2 linked regions of the Canis lupus familiaris genome follow. The protein of the gene in region 1 interacts with the protein of each later gene in a biochemical or structural test. Links are inferred from orthologs where the notes say so. Each region holds a gene or a part of one and is shown on either strand. Other genes may lie near its edges.

Evidence for each region.
Region 2: the proteins of EVL (region 1) and APBB1 form a complex in vitro, tested with the Homo sapiens proteins (2 studies listed by BioGRID). The link is inferred for Canis lupus familiaris from reciprocal best matches to the Homo sapiens genes EVL and APBB1.

What each region holds. Positions count from the first base shown.
Region 1 is NC_049229.1:68,759,019-68,769,342, reverse strand, and holds the start of EVL (ena/VASP-like protein), read right to left. Parts: upstream 6,323-10,324; 5' UTR 6,133-6,322; coding exon 6,110-6,132; intron 1-6,109. UniProt on the Homo sapiens protein: Ena/VASP proteins are actin-associated proteins involved in a range of processes dependent on cytoskeleton remodeling and cell polarity such as axon guidance and lamellipodial and filopodial dynamics in migrating cells.
Region 2 is NC_049242.1:30,236,486-30,246,709, reverse strand, and holds part of APBB1 (amyloid-beta A4 precursor protein-binding family B member 1), read left to right. Parts: intron 1-4,228; 5' UTR 4,229-4,242; coding exon 4,243-4,963; intron 4,964-6,610; exon of another isoform or gene 6,611-6,814; intron 6,815-8,709; exon of another isoform or gene 8,710-8,870; intron 8,871-8,958; exon of another isoform or gene 8,959-8,978; intron 8,979-9,575; exon of another isoform or gene 9,576-9,599; intron 9,600-10,224. UniProt on the Homo sapiens protein: Transcription coregulator that can have both coactivator and corepressor functions. Adapter protein that forms a transcriptionally active complex with the gamma-secretase-derived amyloid precursor protein (APP) intracellular domain.

The sequences.
Region 1 (10,324 bases):
TCCTCAAAGTAGCCCCTTTCCTATACATGAAGTAACCAAGGCCTAGAGAAATAAAGTGACTTGCCCAAGGTCACAGTTTTTAAGTTTATATTATACAAACTGAAACCAAGCCTCTGGGTTCCAGATCCACCACACTACCTCTCTCTGAGCAAAACTCCACAGTAAATGTAACACTTATTTAATAATGGAGGATAGATTGATATTTTTAAATATGTCTGCTTTGCCATCCTTACAGCTAAATTATTTCCCAAAATAACATTTTGCTTGTGGCTAGTCAAACACCAGTCAAAACCGTCAAGTCATTGCAATCTATCTGTCCTTCCCCTCTCCTGCTCTCCATTTCTCTCCTGAACTCTGCCACTTCTTCCAACCAGTGCTCTGGCTACCACCTACTGAAGACCCACACGGTTGTGCATTCTAACAGATGCTGGGTGGCCACAGATAGCGTGATCATAAGCTCCTCTTAGGGATTGTGATTTAAGTAATTAAAAATCTTTTAATGCCTACTATATCAATCTTGTGGGCATTTACCAATCACTCCTAACAGTTGGTAGTGATGACTGAGATATGCTGACTCCCAAGAGTGCAAACTGCAGGGCAGAACAGTGTGAAAGAAACACCGCTGTATGATTACCCTGCAGGAAGCACCAGAGAGAGATGGGCAGGAGAGCCAAGGGAGGCAGGACAAGGGGTCGGTCTATTCCACCCTAGGTGAGGGATCCTCTATTCTCCTTCTGTTCTCCCCTTTGCCACAGACATGGAGGTGCGCAGGAGCCAGACACTACAACAGGCTCCAGGCCTGCAGGAGAGACTCAGGAAGGTGTGGCAGCTCAAAGACAAGAGGTCAGTGCACAGGATGGCATTCCAGGCACAGAGCATCTGGAAGATGAACCGAACTGAAACTGAATAGACCTCCTCACCAGGTGACTTCAGGCAACTTACCCAACCCCTCTAAGTGTCTGCTCTCATTTCTTTCATTCATTTAACAAGTATTTATTAGACACCTACCATGGGCAAGGTACTAGGGATACAGTAACAAACAAAAGTAGATTTTTACTTTTATTTTTAAAAAATATCTTATTCATGAGAGATACACAGAGAGGCAGAAGCAGACTCCCTGCAGGGGGCCTGATGTGGGACTCGATCCCAGGACCCCGGGATCATGACCTTAGCCAAAGGCAGACACCCAACCAATGAGGCACCCAGACTCCCCCAAAAATATATTTTTAAAACCCCACCTCGTAGCACTTACATTCTGCTAAAGGAAGACAAACAATAAACAGGTATAAAATTCAAATCCACAGTATATAGACGGCAGTATGTGATCTGATGAAAAAATAAAGCAGAGTCAGGGGGAAAGGGAATACCCCAAGAGAGGTCAGGGCCACAGCTGAGCAAAGAGCCAGGAAATGAGGAAGCAAACCACGTGGGCATCTGGAGGCAGAGGCCGGGGGAGGGGATGCCTGGTGTGCTCAAGAACAGTACGAGGCCAGTGTGACAGAGGGCGGGCGTGAAGGACACAGGACTCTGTTGGAGATGGAATATGGTGGCAGCAGCAGGGCCAGGCTGAGCAGACCCTTTCAAGATTCCCCAAGAGCTGGGGCATGTGCAGGCAGGCGGGAAGCCATTGGAAGGTTCTGAGCACAGGACTAATAAAACTTGCCCTGACATTTTAAGAAGAGAAACAAGTGAAGAACCGGGAGCAGGAAGACAAGGCAGACAGGATGCTGGGAGGCCGGTTACAAGGCCACTGCGCTGAGTTGGATACGAGATGGTGTCAGCATGGACCAGGCTGGTGGCATGGAGATGCTGGGAAATGGTGGGACTCTGGGCATACTTTGAGGTACAGCTGACAGAACTCCCCTTGATGGCTCAGACATGGAGCGTAGGAGAAAGAAAGGAGTCAGGGATGGCTGAGCAGCCAAAAGGAAGGCCAGGCTGTGGACACGTGAGGAAGGAATGGCTTAGGAAAGAACTGGGGAACAGTGTGAGATGTGCTAAGTTTGAGATGCCTGGTAGACTTCCAGACAGCAACGCCAACCAGGCAGCTGAAGACATGGGACCAGTCTGGGGAAAGGCTGGGGTGGGAGGTATACATTTTGGGGTCATCTGTATCCCTGAGCTCCTGTCGTCATTGATGGTATGTGGCTTGGGGTAACCATGGGCTAAGCAACTAGTGGTGCGTGGGCCACAACTATCCAGTCTTGTGCCTTCCCCATCCCCCATCTCCTATTGATGAGCAAGCAAGCTTGCTCACTGCAGTGTGACAGTCACTGTACCTAAACACCTCTCTCTTCAAGGGACCACAGGGCTCAGGAAATGCAAGGGGCTCGACACTGGGTGGGCTCGACATTGGGTGGGCTGTCCTGGCTTCCAAACTTCAGGTCTTCCCTCATACCACTCATTTTGACTTATTTCCATAATCCAGTGAAAGAGAAAGGAAAGTTAAAACTTTTCCCAAGAGTAAATGTAAATCTGAATAAAGAAAGAACTAGCTGGAGTTTGAACCTCAATTTTATTTAAAAATAAAATAAAACAGACTCGGAGTAGTGACTTCTCATTTTCATGTGACTGACACATTCCAACTGTGGATTTTAGATCTTGGAGTTGGTATGCCACATTCCTTCTAGAAATAAATCAGAATAAGTATCAGGAATCCTGAGAAACAGTGGATTCTGATTTGGGTTCCATTCTCCCTTGTGAGATCATAGAGCCAAAAATCACATTTAAAAATGTTGATTCTGGGGATGGCAGGGAATGTAGTCACCATTCTGGGTCTAGAAGGGGAAGGAAAACCACACAGTGTCCCATGAAGCTGTCTCCAGGGGTGCTCAGAAGGCAGCCTCTGAGGTATGGAGTAACTAAATGTTTACTAAACTATGAATTCAGTACACTTCTCATGTAAGAAGTTTTTTTGAAAAGGTAAAAACAGAGGTGAAGTGGGTCTACCACAACAGCCAGCAGAATAGCTTGCCTGGTGCTAGAACAATACAGTCCTGAAGTCAATGGCAGGCAAAATAAATACCCTAGCTGTCTGGAAAATGCTGGCCCAACTACTCAAGCTCTCAGGATTCTGCAACTGTGTGGGTTTGGCCCCGGCAAATCATTACAATCGTCAGCACGTTCTAGAGTGAGATCATCTGCAGAGATTCCTTATGAAATGTGATCGGCGTTCTCCGGCACTCCCGCAACTGGGGTGTGCTGAGGACACTTCACATTTTTCTCAAGAGGTCAGCTGTCAGCTTTTCGACATGCTCTTCTGAAGTAGCCCACTCAACGGGCACCCTGGTACCAATATCAGGCCTGCACCAAGCTAGCTTGCTTGTTTTTCCTCCCTTATTAAATCCCCTGAAAACAAACTCTGTCAACTGCTTACCTATTAAGGCCTTACTGTGTGTCAAACAGTTTTAGGCACAAAGGGAGACAAAGTTAAAAACCCAGGAGACCTGGAAGCTCTCAAGGAACTCTGTCCATGTTAAAATCAGACTTCTTTTTAAAATGAATGTGGCCCTTGTGCTCTCGCGGTTGGGGTGTGTGCATGGAGGAGTTTGTGCACTCATGGGCCTGTGAACACGTGTGCAGAGGCTGATGGCGCTGACCCGGGTCCTCTGCCAGTATGCTCATGTAGAAAGAACGATATAATGTATAAAGTAAGTTCATGTCATCTCATTTAATTCTAATAGCATTCTAGACTTTCTTACAGAAAATTCATACAGAAAATTGAGACTAAAAGAAGATCAAGAAACTTGCCAAGTCCCCACAAGCCACACATGGGAGAACCTGGGTTATAAACCGATGCCCCTACCCTCACCCGTCCCCAGGAGGAGGGGCTGTTGGGGTGAGTGATCATGGCTATAGTTTAACCTCCCACGTTGCTTCTGGTCCACCTGCCTGAACTTGAACTACAGCTTCTGGCTCTGGATTTCTTTCCTGCCTGTACCCCCTTGCCTTTGCCTCCAACTTCCCATCTCCATAATGACAGTCTGTCGGTTTTCTCCAAGCCCATGGTTCTGAAAGTCTGGTCTCCAGACCTACAGCATCAGAATCACCTGTGGACTTGCTAGAAATGCAGAACCTCAAGCCAACCCCAGACCTACTGGATCTGAGCCTCTGGGAGTGGGGCCTGCAATCTGGGCTTTCCTGGACATTCCAGGTGATTCTACTGAAGGCTACAGCTTGAGCACCACCCTGACCTACACTGACCTACACTGACCAGGCTAGCTCCCTGAGAGTGCCTGTGTGGGCCCATCATGATCACTTGGCCTCCACACATGTAAATCCCAGGACTAAAGAAGAAAGCGATTTGTCCAGCACATGCAGCAGTCACAAAATGCAATCATTCCCAACAAAGTTCTTGAGGACCAGCTTAGGGAAAGCTGGAAGCATAGGTAACAGACTTCCCCTTTCTGGTCTACTTTCTGCAGCTGGCCCCACTTTCTCTGTTCGGCACTGCAGTGGCCTTCAACCTGACCCCCTTCCCACTCATCAGACCCAGTCTGTGGGCTAGGAGCTCACCAAAGTGGGAACAGGCTTGTTGATACTTATCCCTCTTGCCTAACTGGGAAAGGAGGTGAACAGCTCCACACTCTGCTCAAGACAATTAGTTAAGGCTTACTCCATCTAGAATAAATGCTTACAATAAGATATGAACCTCACAACTATATTACTTTCTACAATCCCCAAAACTCCTTTCTCAGACGGATCAGAAAAGCTAATTTTCAAATTGGGATTAGAACCCGGGACTCCCAACTCCCTCTCTATGGACCTATCTACTGTAACACATCAAGCATAAAACAAATTCCTGTTAGTTATCTAATCAAGCTAAAATAAAACAGTAAGTCCTGGTCATTGTATAAGGGCACGGGCCCATGTCACCAGAGCATACTGCCACAAGGAAAGAATGTCCTTTTCATAAGCCCGGTCCATTAGAAATCATGCAGAGACACTCTCTTAAACAAAGGATAACTTCCTAGATCCAAAGCTCCAAGTTTACAGGAAGGGCGAGGGACAATCTTTATAGCCTGCTTTTCTTCATGCAGATCTGGGGATCCTCTCATCTACTCCCTTGATTTTGCTTAAAAGGTCTCTAATTTCTTTCTAGAAATAATGAAAGGTGGTTATTCTATTATCATTTTAATGTCTATTGCAGCACCGTTCTTCGGAGGGAACAAAAAAGGCCTGTAGAGACAGAACTGAGGTCCCCACACAATCACCCCCTTGCCAATCGATATGGTATTTACACTCTGTTCTAAAATATACCGAAATTCCATTTGAGAAACGAGAGGCTGCCGGAGGTTAGGAGCAGACACACACATACACACTCTCTTCCATATGTTCCAAAAGGTGGAAATATGCACACGAATGATCAGATCACCCTCCCATTCCGCCTCCTTTATTTTCATTTCTTAGAAACTATCTCCGTTGGAACATCCCTTCCCACATTCATACCCAGAGACAGATCCGTGGAGAGGAGATGGAGGAAAGAGAAGGAATAAGATTCACAAAAGACTAATTTGGAGCATTGATAATTACAGCAGCTGAAGAGCTAACGAAAGCAGAGAAGGACCCTGTAACAAAACACCATCAGGGCACTTCCCAGGAAACTGCCCAGGCACAAGATTACTATTAACAATGAGGAAAAAAATCAGAGCCAAAATCAAATCTCAACTAAGCAGGCAGACTTACAGAATTTTTCACCTTCACTGCTACGATTAGCATTTTTTTTAAAAGAGCACTAGACTCCGTGAGTTTGACAAAGGAAGAAAAACAAAAGATAGCAAGAGACTCATTCTAGATAAACAGTTGCTATTCTGCATTCATAACTCTACACCAGCCACAGCAGCTCGAATGAGGCACAAGGTGGGGTCCTCAGCAAATTTACACACGATCAAACCAATTATCCACGCTGCACTTGTGCATGCAGTAAACACCCTCGACCTGCACCACCTCTCTGCTTCCCACCCCCAAAACCGAGATCGACCCCACCAAATGCAGAAAAGAACCCTTTTTTGGGTGAGAACCAGCTAGAGCCTAAGCTGTCATTACACAGCAAAAACCTAGCGAGAACAAAAACCCAGCAGCAGACTGATGTAGGAAGCCCAGAACGTACCTGAATTCTTCAAATGCAAACATGACCTAGTCAGAGACAATTTCCTTAGATTGTCTGGTAGCCTTTTTGGTTCGGAGGACAACCATTTAGTCAGTCAGATGGTGCAAAGTGCAGAAAAAAGAGGCGGGGTTTCCACACCCCCCCAATATTCTGAAGTAAAAGGCTTTCTGCAGACAGGGGCCTGCAGCCTCCAGCTCCGCCAGCTGCTGACAAGCGGCAGCTAACAGGGGAGGCAGCTAGAGGACCATGTGATCATTCCAGCAAGTCTGATTAATGCAGTGTATGCTTAGGCTCCAGGCTGGGAACTGGATTAGCCCAGAGAAATAAGTCGAACCCCTGGGCATGCCTGGCATCCTGGGTGAATCACATATACGTTCCCCACCCCACCCCCCCACCCCCCACACACACCCAGCCAGAAATTTGCAGGTTGGGAAATGGGAGGCCAAGGCCTAAAGGAATGTCACCAGCTCCACGGTGACCTGCCCATTACCCCATCTTGGGTGGCTGCTGCTGTCACCATCAGGTATGGCCAGTGTGGTCAGTGAACAGGACAGAGTGTTACTCATGTTACTGAAAATTCCGCAGAATTCCACTATTGAGCATTTGTTCAGCACAAATGCATAAACTGCTTCAGAACCACAGAAGTCACATTCTATACTTACCACTTTACCATGAACAACATGACCTTCTAGGTCAACTGTGATGACTGATCTCATTTACTTAACTATTCATTTATTGAGTGTCTAGTGTGTACCAGGCTCTTATCAATTCCTTGAGGTACAAAAATTACCATAACAATTTCAGAACAGAAGTTAAGAAAAAGGAAAAGAGACGTCAGAGAAGAAAGAAAGAAAGAAAGAAAGAAAGAAAGAAAGAAAGAAAGAAAGAAAGAAAGAAAAGAAAGAAAAGAAGGAAGGAAAGAAAGAAAGAAAGAAAGAAAGAAAGAAAGAAAGAAAGAAAGAAAGAAAGAAAGAAAGAAAGAAAGAAAGAAAGAAAGAAAGATGTTTACCGGTTTGTAAAGCCCAAGCTGGCAAGATTTGGCTGTATTCTGAAACTTGCCATTATGGAGATCTTCAGCATTTAGAGCGCAAATCTTTATAAAATAAGGGAGACAGATCTCAAATAAAAACCTGTGAGTCACTCTTGAGTTTCTTACTCCCTCACAACACAGGAACAATCAGTCGCTAATTCTGATTGTACCTCCAAGAGGTTTCTTTGAGTCCAGCCCCTACCATCCCAGGCCCTTAGCACTTCTCAGGCGGCCTTGCACCTTATAACCGGTCTTCCTCACAGTCCTTCTCTAAAAAATCAGCCCAAGCCATTTTCTAAATCTGATTCTGCTGCCTCCGCCCTTTCCAACCCTGCAGTAGTTCCTTGGTACCCATGGGATTATGCAAAAATGCCTCAGCCCTGCAAAGAAAGTCTTATTTCTCCCACTCTTTCTTCCATCAAAACTCTTCACAAACCCCCAAATTCAGCCAGACATTCCAGGTCCCCAGATATGCTAGGACCTCCTTCCTTTGGTCCATGAGGCAACTGGCCCAGATTATTCCTTGTTTCGTGTGTGACGTGTGTCCTCTCACGCAAGGCTCTGCCCCCAGGAGCCTGCACTACCCCCAGGACAGTCAGCCACTGCCACTGAGCCATGGCATAGCACTCCGCCTGCCCCACACATCCCTGAGGCCCGTAGGGCAGTGACGTGCATTCCCAGAGCCTGGCACAGAGCTGGACAAAGAGAAGCCATTCAGTAAAGGTCCAGGGCAGGAACCTCCTTTTGCCTCTGCCTCTGGGATACAGGTATCCACACATGCAGGTGCTCTGGGATGACTGTGCTCCTCCCCGTGTTCTCTCTACCTTGAAGGGCAGCCAGAGTCCAGAGCCCAACTCAAAGAAATGAAGTGGTAGCGGCAGGCTGACTAGTGAGGACAATTAGGGGGAATCCTAGGATCCCTCAAACCATGCAGCAATCATCAACTGAGCCGATCCGGAATGCCCTGCCCAGTATTCCTGACAAGTCTTTGCAAGGGACCCTTCAGTGACAGCAGCTTCTTGGCAGCATCACGATACAACAGAAAACACAAGAGATACAGAGTCCTTAAATAACCGAGTTCACGTCCCAGATCTGCCACTTCCTGACTCCATGATCACTGACAGGCGACTCGAGCTGTCCGCGCCCTGCTCCCTGCACAAACAGTTGGAATAACGCAGATGCTGCCTAGGCCTCTCACAGGACAGCTGTCGCGACCCCACAGGGTAGCACCGGGGAGCTGTGAGAGGTCCTTGTTGAGTACATCAAGTTGTGGAAGGTTCTTCATCATCATTACCGCTTCACAAGGCCACCTCCCCTTGAACAGTGCTGATAGCTGGACGATCTTCTCTGTGAGATCACCATCCCCAGGGAAGTGTTTGGTCTGCATGAGGGGTAGGGGTCAAGGTATTTCTATCTTAGGATTTTCAGGACAAGGGGTGTGTGTGTGTGTATACATACACATATATACCATGTATGGATATATGTATAAGATAACTATCCTAAATTCTAAGTTAAAAAAAAGCAATAAAGACTACCCAAATCTTAGAAAAAGCAATTCACCCACACCAAATGCAATTACATGATGTTGTTATTTATTAAATTAAACTACCTGGGTACAGTCATAGATGGGCTGAGGTAGGGGCAGCTGGTAATCAGCCAGACACAATCTTCTTGAGGGAAAGGAGATTTAGAGTATTCTGTTACCACTCCTTTGCAGCCTCAAGGACAGGTCTAGTAAACAGCAGACACTCCATAATTACTTCTGATTGACAGATGTGTTAGTTGGTCTAATGGCCAGAACCCACATTCTTGGCACTATCTGCAAAGTATGGGGAAGAGAAGCAGTGGTCTTAACTCCTAGACATTTGTCATGGAGTTACAGACGTTTGTAAGAACTGGCCCGATGTGCTTTAGCCCGGCCATGAGGCAGGTCCACTGTGGCACAGGCCCAGGGGATAGACACCTCTCAACTTCATGGCTGGTTTCCACCAGTAACACAAGAATCTCCTCTTGGAATGCTGGTTATACCTCTCAGGGCAATTCATAAGGTCCTAGTACAAGCAGAATTGCTGAGAACTTGTGAAAAATCTTCAAATCCCAGCACCAAATGTATGGTAGACAAAATTTTATGAGATTCCCCAATTTACTAATAAGGAAACAGGCCAAAGAGGTTAAGTAACTTGCCTAAGGTCATACTGCTGTCCAATGGCAGAGCAATGACTTGGAGCCAGGCCGGCTTAATGCCAGTGCTTGCAGACCCCATGCCCTCTCAGGTCCCAATACCAATGATCCTACCGCCTCTGGCGGCCTCCAGAGACAGCTGATCCCATAGACCACCAGGCAGCCTGTAGCTCCAGAACAGGGCTGGGCCACAGTGACCGTCTGGGGTTCCTCTACCCAGCCAGTCCTAGCTAGTGCCTGAATGTCATGGCCAGGCATGCATGTCTGCACCGCCTGCTTCAGCTGCCGCAGGAAGGAAGGGCTAGGATCCTGGGTTGACACAGGACCAGACTAGGAACGGAGTCGGCTTCAAACCCTAGGCACTTCATTTGATCCCTGATAGCACCAGAGTGTCAGGAAGAGGGACACAAGTGAGGGTCCGTGCCTCCTGACAGCTCCACTCTCTGAATAAGCTGGGAAGGCACTTCAGTGACCAAAGAATGTTAAAAAAATGAAAGGTCATCCCAGGTCATTTACTGATGACTCAAGGCTCAGACAAAGCCTGTTCCTGCCATGGAACCTTTTGTTTTTTTTTTTGTTTTTTTTAAATGTCACTTACATGGGACATAAAGCTGATACATGTAGAGGGTTCTGGTTGAAGGAGGAGTGGAAGAGCCCACAGTCCCTGCCCCCAGGCTTTCCCCTCCCTCCAGCAGGGGCAGGCCAGACTCAGCCAGAGAACACCTGGCTCAAATGACTGGCAGCCCCATCTGACATTCTGGATGGGGTGGAGCTCTCTGAGCTCGGGTCATCACACTCACCCTAGTTAATCTGGACTCACCCCCTTTTTTTAGTCTCATCCTAAGAATAAAAGCCCCCCCCCCCCCCCACCTGGATCCTGCTGTCATCATAGAACACTGTCCTCCTGCAGTGACTGGCCATGAGAGCTCCCTGAGGAGTCCCCAGAGAAACAAATGTGGAGATACTGAATACAAATGCTATCATTAACAGGAGATGTTCCCAGG
Region 2 (10,224 bases), on another chromosome or scaffold:
AATTCCTGGAAAGGCATGAAAGGAAGGAACCAATTAAGAGATGAAGCAGTTGGTCTTAGGAAGAAGGATAAAAGGATAGGTGCCGAGGTCAGCAAATTAGTGTTTGTGGACATTCCCCAATCCATTCCATTTCCTCTGGGAAGGAGGAGGGGGAGGTCTTCCTCTGGGAGGGAGGGGTGGTGCACCAGGTGGTCCAAGGAGAGTTGTGCTCTTGTCTCAACTTAAAAGTCTTTCCTTGAGCAGCTCCTTGCTGATGTCTGGGCTAGAGTACAACTCAGACTCCTGTAGTGCCCCCTGTTCCTCCCCCCATCATACTCCATCATTTATTCAACAAATAGGGAGTGCTTATCGGTGCCAGGGACCGTCCAGACCCTGGCACTACACTGCATTGTAAGGGGTGGTTTCCCTGCTATACTGTGTACTCCACTGGGGAGGGACCATTTCTTTTTTTTTTTCTCAAGATTTAGAGATTTTATTTATTTATTTATTTTTAATAAAATAATTTTTATTGGTGTTCAGTTTACCAACATACAGAATAACACCCAGTGCTCATCCCGTCAAGTGCCCCCCTCAGTGCCCATCACCCACTCACCCCCACCCCCTGCCCTCCTCCCCTTCCACCACCCCCAGTTCGTTTCCCAGAGTTAGGAGTCTTTATGTTCTGTGTCCCTTTCTGATATTTCCCACACATTTCTTCTCCCTTCCCCTATATTCCCTTTCACTATTATTTATATTCCGGGAGGGACCATTTCTTCATAATTCATCACTCTTCCCCATGCCTAGCACAGTGCCTTGCAAATAGTAAGCTGTCAGGTTAGAGGACTCTTGATCTTGAGTAGGATGTACCCCCATCCCTGCAGTCAATCTGAGCCCCTTCACACTTAGTGGCCACTCTTAGCTCCTTGCCTTGAGCCAGAATCCATGTGGCTCTTTCCGTCCTTTGAGAGGCTTCAGGTACACCTAACCCCAAAATGAGTGCCCCTTCTTGAGGATCCTGGGCCGCTGGTTATCCTTTGACCTCAAAAAGTTAGGTGATGGTGCCATACAATGCCTTGAACCAGGAACTTAGGTTTCAGTGCTTGTTCACAACAGAGCTTCTGCATTTCTCCCCCAGTACTTTCTGCCCTGGTGACCAGAGGGACAGGGCTGCCTTGGAGTTGATCTGGCTCTTCACTGTCCCAGCCTCACAGTGTATGTGCCTTTCCCAGATCACACCTCCAAGTGCTAAGGAGGTCAATACCATCCTGACCTCTTAAAAACCTGGCTCCATACACTGCTGCTTCAGAGAAGGACTCATCGTCTCTGTGATCCTCTCAGCTTGCCATAGTCACAGGGTCTTCACATCCTGAAACTCAATGGGGATGCCACTGTGGAACAGCCTTCAAGTCAAGACGTCAGTGTACACTAATTCCCTCCCTCCCTTTGTCCCAGATCTTGGTCCTTACTGCTCTGGGACCTCCTGCCTTCTCAGGTACCCTTCATCATTCTCCAGCAGCCTCTCTAATACTCCTATTGCCCACTTGCAGCCCATGGGGCCGCACAGGTTTGTCTCAGTGTCTGCTCCCACTAGTCTCAGCCTCCAAATCCCTCTTACCCCCTGAGAGCACCTCAGGGTAGCTCTCAGCTCTGGGCACACGTTGTCTGTTCCCTCCATCCTTCCCTTCTGTCCACATCGAGGCTCCACTGTGTGGCACACACACCACGCACACTCCTTGGTAATGGGAATGTGAAGTCGAATAAGACAGTCTCGGGTGTTTGGAGGGAATGGGGCATTGGGTATCATGAGACATGGAGGAGGGAATGGTCCCCTGAGCAAAAAAGAGAGAAAACGGAACAGGAAAGCCTCACTGCTCAGAAGCTGTGCCTGCCAAGCCAAGTTTTGAAACATGAGCAGAGGTTCTCACTCAGGGAGACAGGATTCCAAGCGGGGGGAGCACTGTAAACAAAGAGCCAGGGCTGTCAGGGTGTGACATGTTCTAGAATCTGCCATATTTTGTGAAGCTGGAATGTAAAGTGTGAAAGAGGCAGGGAAGGGGGAGGAGGTCTGAGAGGTCATAGGGATTGGCTCAAGGAGGCTCTCGGTGTCCTGCTAGTGAGCACAGATCTTATTCTGAAGGTAGCAGTGAGCCATCTAAATTTTCCAACTGGGGAGTGACACAATCTGGTTTCCATTTTTGGAAGATTACTGTGGTTCTAGGTAGTGGCAGAGCTGTTTATTTTTCTTGTTTATGCCAGTGACCATGAGTTTGCTTATTACCCAGGTGGAGCCACACCAGGCAGATCTGCAGTTCCACATGAGGCAGACACACAGGAACATTTTTTCATCCAGGTCACGGAAGTGTGCACAGTGTTGTGCTAGGGTTTGAGGAGCTAGGCATGATGGAAAAGCAAACTATGGCTCCTGCCCCAGGACCATGTGCTGTACCTGAGGCACAGCAGAGCCTTGGTCAGACAGCCTAAAGCACCTCACTGGCAATGTGTGCTCAGAGCTGAGAGCTACCCCGAGGTGCAGGGAGAACCAGGACAGGGGGTCAGGGGAGATGGAACTCTTCAGTGGGGGCTAGGGGGGAGAGAGAACGCTCAGGTGAGAAATGGGGGAGAAAGAACCACACGGTGGGAGTCAGAGAGAGAGGTATGCAGTGAGGGGCAGCCAGTGAGACAGAGTGGTGTGCTGAAGAGAAGGGTTGAGGAGGAAGAGAGGACTCAGAGAGGGGATGGGACAAGTGGAAGGCGACACGGAGCTAAGAGGGCCAGGATGAGAAAGACTTGGTCAGGGAGGATGGCCTGTGAGGTGGTGACAGTGAGGGTCCAGGGAGTAAGCACTTTACAGTGACAGTCAGGGAAGGAGGACACTAGAGCAGTAGAAGGTGAGGATGGAAGGAGGCCTTGATGGGATCACTGGGTAAGGATATTTAGGCAGTGAAGGTGTTCCACAAAGGGGTTGTAATGAGAGAGGGGCCAAGGGGCAGGAAGTTGGGGAGGGCTGTCACTGTGGAACAGGAGATCCCCTCACCTGCAGCAGATGGGATTTGTTTGGGCCACCACGAGTAGTGGTTGAGACACAGTGACATGACCAAAATGTGTTTCCTGCAACTGGCAGAGGAGATGCTAAAATCGGGCCTGGAGGAGATAGGAGAGCAGACTTACACATTCATTCAACAAATATTTATTGAATTCCTGTTCTGTGCCAGGGTTTGTTACGGTCTAGGCATATTGTATTGAAAAGAAAAAAAAAAAAAAAGACAAAATCTTCCACCATGGAACTGAAATTGCAGTCATGGGGAGACAATGATTAAACAAATAGTGGTAATAATATTGATAAATAGCTTGACAGATGGTGCTAGGCACTAGGGAAGGTTTGCGTGTTGCTGAGAGAGGGCATGGTGGCTTGCAGTTTTAAAAGGGTGTCAGGGAAAGCCTCACTGAGAAGATGACATTTGGATCAAGACATAAAGGGCTGGAGAGTACAGGTCAAAAGCTCCTGTTGATTGAGGCATGAGGCATTATAGGGCCTGGCAGGTGGAGTGGTGTCCAAAGTAAGATACTTTATAGTAACAGTCATCAAGATGTAGCTTCAACTGGCCAATTCAATTCACGAATTGAGGCTGAAGGTCTTTCCTTTGTGACCTTCCTTCCCAGGTCCACGCCCTTGATGGTCTACAGCTCATTCTCTCCTATTCTCACAGTCCCTAGTAGGCCTGGGCTTAGGGGCTGGTTGTGATAGGAACACTGCCTAGGGAGCTCACAGTAGGAAGTTGTGGATAGCAACGTGGCAAGAGGAAGAGGGCAGTCAGTGTCCAGTCCCAGAACACATGAGCCAGTCCCACACCAGCTGGGTCCCTGGCACAGTAAGCCCCGGTCAGATAAGTGGGGGTGGGGATGCACAGAGAGCCATTGTGTGGAAGCTCTGCTGTTGGGATTGAAGGCAAAGCAGGGGCTGGCTGTGCTGTCTCAGAAAGCTCAGGGCTGGGGATTTGGGGCTGGGGTGGATTGTAGGCCTGGCCCTAGCCTTTGGTGGAGATGGTGGTTGAGTGGGTGGTGGTGTGGGGGGACAGGAGTTGAGCCTAGTCATTGTCATGGGAAAATAGCTCTCAGGATACAGCAGTGGGTGCTAGTCTGCTGAGCATAAGGGAGATGACGAGGTACGGAGCACAGCCCCAGGCAGAAGCAGGGGTGCTGCTGTCTTGACCTGGAGGCTCAACCACAGTCTCCTATCCTCACCCCACAGGATCTGCCAAGGCCATGTCTGTTCCATCGTCACTGAGCCAGTCGGCCATTAATGCCAACAGCCACGGAGGCCCTGCCCTGAGCCTACCCCTGCCCCTGCACACTGCCCACAACCAGCTGCTCAACTCCAAGCTGCAGGCTACGGCTGTGGGACCCAAGGACCTGCGCAGTGCCATGGGGGAGGGTGGTGGGCCTGAGCCAGGCCCTGCCAATGCCAAATGGCTAAAAGAGGGCCAGAACCAGCTCCGGCGGGCTGCCACAGCCCATCGTGACCAGAACCGCAACGTGACCTTGACCCTGGCAGAGGAGGCCAGTCAGGAGCCTGAGATGGCACCCTTGGGCCCCAAAGGCCTGATGCACCTGTACTCTGAGCTGGAGCTCTCCGCCCACAATGCAGCCAACAGAGGGCTCCGAGGATCTGGCCTGATCATCAGCACCCAAGAGCACGGGCCAGATGAAGGAGAGGAGAAGGCGGCAGGGGAGGCTGAGGAGGATGATGAGGAAGAGGACGAAGAGGAGGAGGAGGAGGACTTGTCTTCTCCCCAAGGGCTGCCCGAGCCCCCGGAGAGTGTGGAGGTGCCCCCCAGACCCCAGGCCCTTGCAGACGGTCCCCGAGAACACAGCAAGAGTGCCAGCCTCCTGTTTGGCATGCGGAACAGTGCAGCCAGTGATGAGGACTCCAGCTGGGCTACCTTATCCCAGGGCAGCCCCTCCTACGGCTCCCCAGAGGACACAGGTACTTTATGGAGCTTGACATGGGGGATCCGGGAGGGCAAGTGGACAGGGGTCAGGCCTCTCCAAATCAATGTCAGGGCCAGCCCAGACATGAGCCACAGAGCTGGTGTCCTAATAGTCCTCAGCAGGCCATATCCAGGTTTTCCTGGATGAAACCATTCCTGATATTCAGAGTGTTTGCACAAGTTGCTAGGTTCATCCATCATGCACACACTGATGGACGGTGGACTTAGGTGCATTTATGGAGCACTTACCAGGTACTGCCCTATGCTTATTATTAATTGTATTCCATCCTCACAGTCATACTGTGAGTTAGATGCTCTTATGATGCCCATACATCATACATAGTAGGCCTGGAGAGGTTAAGTAGCTTTTCCAAGCCACAGACAGTCTGGGATCATAGTAGAACTGAGTCTAGACCTGAGCTCTTGTCCTTGCCTATCCTGCCACTGATGCACACAGCACGATGAGCCAGATGAGCTGACTTAAGTCAGCTTTTAACAGGCCAGATCTGGAGGCAACAGCAGCACCTCCCCACAGATGTCTACTTGGAAAGACTGAGGTCGGTTGTGTGCAGAGCACTACTCTGGGCTTTGTAAGGATACCGTTTTGTATTCTTTGTATCAGGAATAGAATACTAACTAAAAATTAGGAAATAAAAGAAGAAAGAATGAATATATCCATCTTTGTGGGGTGGGCAAGAGGGGACAATAGGTATTGGACTCCAAGGACTGATCATTAAATGTGTCCCATTTAAATAAATTGAATTTCCGTATTTCCTGATGTCACATAGAGATGCAGACAGAGCTGAGCAACAGAGGACAGAGATAATGGGTTGTAGCTACAAGCCCAGAGTTTTCTGGATTGGAAGATAAGTAAAGATTAGGAAAGACTCGGGTGGGCACCTGGCAGCAGGCACCATACCAGACCCCAAACTGTGGAGCCTTTGCAGGGGAGCATGTAGTTCATGCAGGTGAGCCAAAGGCAGTACAGCATCCCCTTTCCAAAAACTTAACATGGATATTTTCAAACATCTAGAAAAGTAGAGAGAATAGAATAATGAGCCCAATTTATCCATGACTCCATTTTAATAGTGACCAACACATGACTAATTTTGCTGCATCTATACCCTGACCTACTCTTGGGTCCTAGCCTATTTCAAAGCAGACACTCAAATCCATAAGTGTTTGTTTACTCATGCATTTCTAAACAACAAAATTCTTCTAAAAATTTTCACAAAACCATTATCATTAGTACAAAAATTCAGCAATAACTTCTTAATATTATCAAATATCCAGTCAATGTTTATAATTTCCTAATTGTTTAATAAATGACCGCCCCCCCCCACACACACACACATCCTGCTATTTAAAGTTTTGATTATTTGGATCAATAACCAGTTAGTTGGAGACCTTTCCATGGTGGATGTGTATCTTAAAGTTTCTTTGGGTCTGTATGTCATGCTTCCATTCCTCCGTCTGTCTCTCTTTATTTTTGCTTGCAGAGTGTTGTTTTAAATTAGAGACACAGTGTTATTTATCTTGGGTTTTCCAGAGTCTGGATTTGTAGACTCTCCCTGTGGTGGCATTGAGCAGGTTTCTCTTCCCCTAGATTTCCTGCAGATTTGGTAGTGAGTTCTAGAGCCTTGATCAGATTTGGATTTGAGAGGTTTTTTTTTGTGTGTGTGTGTGTGTGTGTTGCTTTTGCAAGAACGTTTCATAGGTGGTATTGAGTACTTTTATCAAAGGCAAAGTCTGGTTGCTTCTCTTTTCTGTGATGTTAGTAGCCTTCGATGGTCATTGTTTGGACCTCCTTTTAAAGGAGCAGCTGCTACTTCATTCCAGCTGGTTATCTATAGGGTTGCATGGGGGGGAAATGTCATCCAGTCAGTTCATGCCACTTTTCAAGGAAAACCAAAAACTGGACATTGATGTGAAATAGCCCAATTTCTAAATGTTAGCAGCCAGTTCTGTTTTTTTACAAAGTACCATGCAGGCCACACAAAATCTGAGTCTTGTATTTGTCTGTAGGTTGCTAGTTTGGAACTTCTGCCCTAGCTGTGGGGTATGAGACAGAGGCCAGATACTGGAGAGCCTGATTGGTCCAGGGGCTGCTGGGGTGGTCGCTGTAGTAGCTGCACATGTGAGCCGTCTGGGAGAAGGAGACCAGAACTGCCAAAGAAGTGGGAAGGGCCTGCTGGGCACAGGCATCAACCTCAGCGAGAGAGGACAGCCAAGGATCAAGCTCTGGTGGAGGCTATGGAAAGTGGAGGGAGTGGGGTGGGGCCAGCCTCGGAAAGGGTTGAGTCACTGCTTACTCTTTTGTAATTGTGGTGCTGTGATCATGAAGGCCATGGAGGAGGTCTGGGTTCCTGTAGGAATGGAGTAGCATTGGGCAAAAGTTATTTTGTCCTTCCCAGCCTAGGATCTCCACAGAGTTGTTGATTGAATAAATGAATGAATGGAAGAGTGAATGAACTTTACTACCTGTGTTGAGTTCATACTCAGTGCCAGACCTTGTCCTAAATGCTGAGAAGGCATAGCACAAGGGACAGAGGTTCCTGTCCTCATGGCGCTCACAGTCTAGGGGGTACAGAGAGAGACGGGCAGCTCTGATCCGCATGGTGAGCACTGGGATGGAAGATGTGCAGGAGGGCACTCAGCCTGTGTGCATGGGGGTGAGGGGGTGGGTCAGTTTTGATATGTGACCTTTACATGCAGGCCTGAAGAAGGAGTGGGTGATAGTTAGGTGAAACCTGAGGGAAGGAGGCTGGGCTTGTAGAGGATGAGGGGCATGAAGAGCAGGGAGAGAGAGACAAGGGGCGTGGGGGCTGGTGATCAGAAATAAGGCTCGAAGGCAGAAGGTTAGAGGCTCATAACAGCACACACACCCCGGGAGGAGTTTGAGTTCTATCCTGAGGGCAAGAGAAAATAATTAAGATTACTAAGGTAGAGAATAGTTCAGCATTTTGAAACAATCATGTGGGCTGTAGCGTGCAGTCCACATTGGAGGAGACTAGGCTGGAGGAGGGAGCCCACCTGTGAGGCTGTTGCTGTGATCCAGGTAAGAATTCCAGGTAAAAGGGAGAAGCTTGAACTACTGTAGTGACATGGGGATGGAGAAGAGGAAAGAGCATTATGTGACTCACTGACTCCCGAGCAAATGGCTATACCTGTTTCACCATGACGGCATGCACAGATGAATGAATGATGCACAAACCTTTGAATTCGTGCGTCAGTGCCTGAATGAGTCGATGCAGGAGTGAAGATGTACATTCCTGAATAAATGTGTGCATGTGGCGTGGCAAAGGCCTTAGTGGGGCTGTGCTTGGAGGGAGATGTGCCAGGCTCCAGAAGGGCCTCCCAGATGGTCAGAGGGGGAGAGCAGCCCGCCCCTCCAGGACAGATCGGAAGGATGAAGCTCTTTGAAGCAGGAAGGTACAGGCTAACAGGGATGGCAGATGGATTGGTGTGTGACTCAGTCAGAAGATGGTGAATTGGTCCCCAGATTCAAGAGGTGTGTGACCCTTCATGAAGAAGGGTATGTCTGTGGAGGGCACGGTTGCTCTTGCTGTTGGTGCTCCTGAAAGGTTCCACAGGAGAGCCCGGAAGGCACTGGAGGGTCCCTGGGGAAGAGCAGGCATTTTAATTCCCTGGGGTCTGAGATGAAGGCAGGGTGGAGAGAGAAGAGGTGATAATGGCTACCTAGAAGGCTGAACAGGCAAGAGCCCCTCCTCCATGGGCCTACCTCATTTGCAAACAGGGTGGTGAGGAATCTTGCTTGCATCAGGTGTGCGGCCACCTTGGGTGACCACACCTGCTCCCAGCCCCTCTGTGTGCCTGGTTGCCCAGCAGCCTGGGTCTGGGGACTGCCTGTATCCTCAGTGCTGCCTCTTGGACCAGTCAGGATTCCTGGTTTCCCTGGTAACGGGAAGCACGTCAGCAGTCTGGGCGCTCCCAACCGTCCTGGTGCTGCGGTTGCCGAGGAGACGCTGCAGCCTAGCTGGGCCCTGGCAGGTGAGGGGGGCTGTGCAGGGAAGCCCCAAGCCCAGCCTCAAGCTTGCTGGGGCCCAGCCTTCAAGGCCCACTTTTGGGCTCAAACTGCAGGGCAGGTCCTGGGCAGGGGAGGGATCCCCGGGAGCTCTGAAGCCACACCCTTTTTGTGCTGAGAGCTAGTCTTTGCAGGGCCCCAGGTGGCTGAGGTATTCCTGAGGGGCTGAGTTTCCTGGTGTCCTCCAGACTAGGTTTGACTGTGGCACTCTGATGCCCATTACGGGGTGGGATGGAGATTCAGAATTGGGGGAGGGGAGTCAGGATTAGAAAGAAGAAATGTGGGCAGGAAGGGCTAGGGTCTTATGAGGACCCTCTATTCCCCCCCCCCCACGGAGGTCCCATGGTGGTCCTGGCCCCTCCTTAGTGAGCGCCAGGCGGGGGAGGATCTTGCCTGGCAGGCGCTCTGCCCTGGTGAGAAGGGGGCGGGATGAGCTTTTCTCTGCAGCCCAGCACCAGGCTGTGAGCCCAGCTGGCTGGGCTGGAGGGGCTGTGAGGAGGGAGGGTGGAGGCAGGAGGGGCTGGGAACCAGCGCCATGTTCTCCCAGGACTTTTTCCTGGCCATCATCCTTCAGGACAGCAGCCCAGGTGAGGGGTAGCATGAGGCTGGGCAGAATATGAGGTGGGGCTGGGTAGGGAGGAGAGGCAGAGGAGGCATAAGCTGGGTTACAGGGCTGGAGTGGTGTGGCTCTGCTGGAAGAAGAGGGGTGTATGTCACAGGTATACGTGCATGTGCATAAGACGTTTGCCTGCATCTGTGTGTGGCAGGGGTCAAGGTGTGAGTGTGTGTGGTATCTGCACACACGAGGCAGAGGTTGACTGAGTGTGCATTCACTATCTGTGTGGTACCCACACATGTGTTGGGGGTTGTTGTGGGTGTGGTCTCTGCACACATGTGGTAGGAGCTGATACATATAACCGTGTGTGTGCATACCTCTGTATGGTGACTTCGTTAAGGTATGGCTGGAGTTGGGTTGTATGTGTGTTTGCCCCTGCACATGTGTGTGCACCTGTGATACCCACCGTCTCTGCTGGTATTTTCTGTGTGTGTACACCCTTGTGTTTGTGGTGGCTGCACAGGTGTGTAGTAGGGCTTATATGTGTTGTGTGTTTGAGTGCACGTGTGTGTGCAAGAGCTGACAAGTGTGTGTGTGCCTGAGATATGGGCATATATGATAGGAGGTCAGTTAGGGTCACCCAGCCTCCTTCTCCT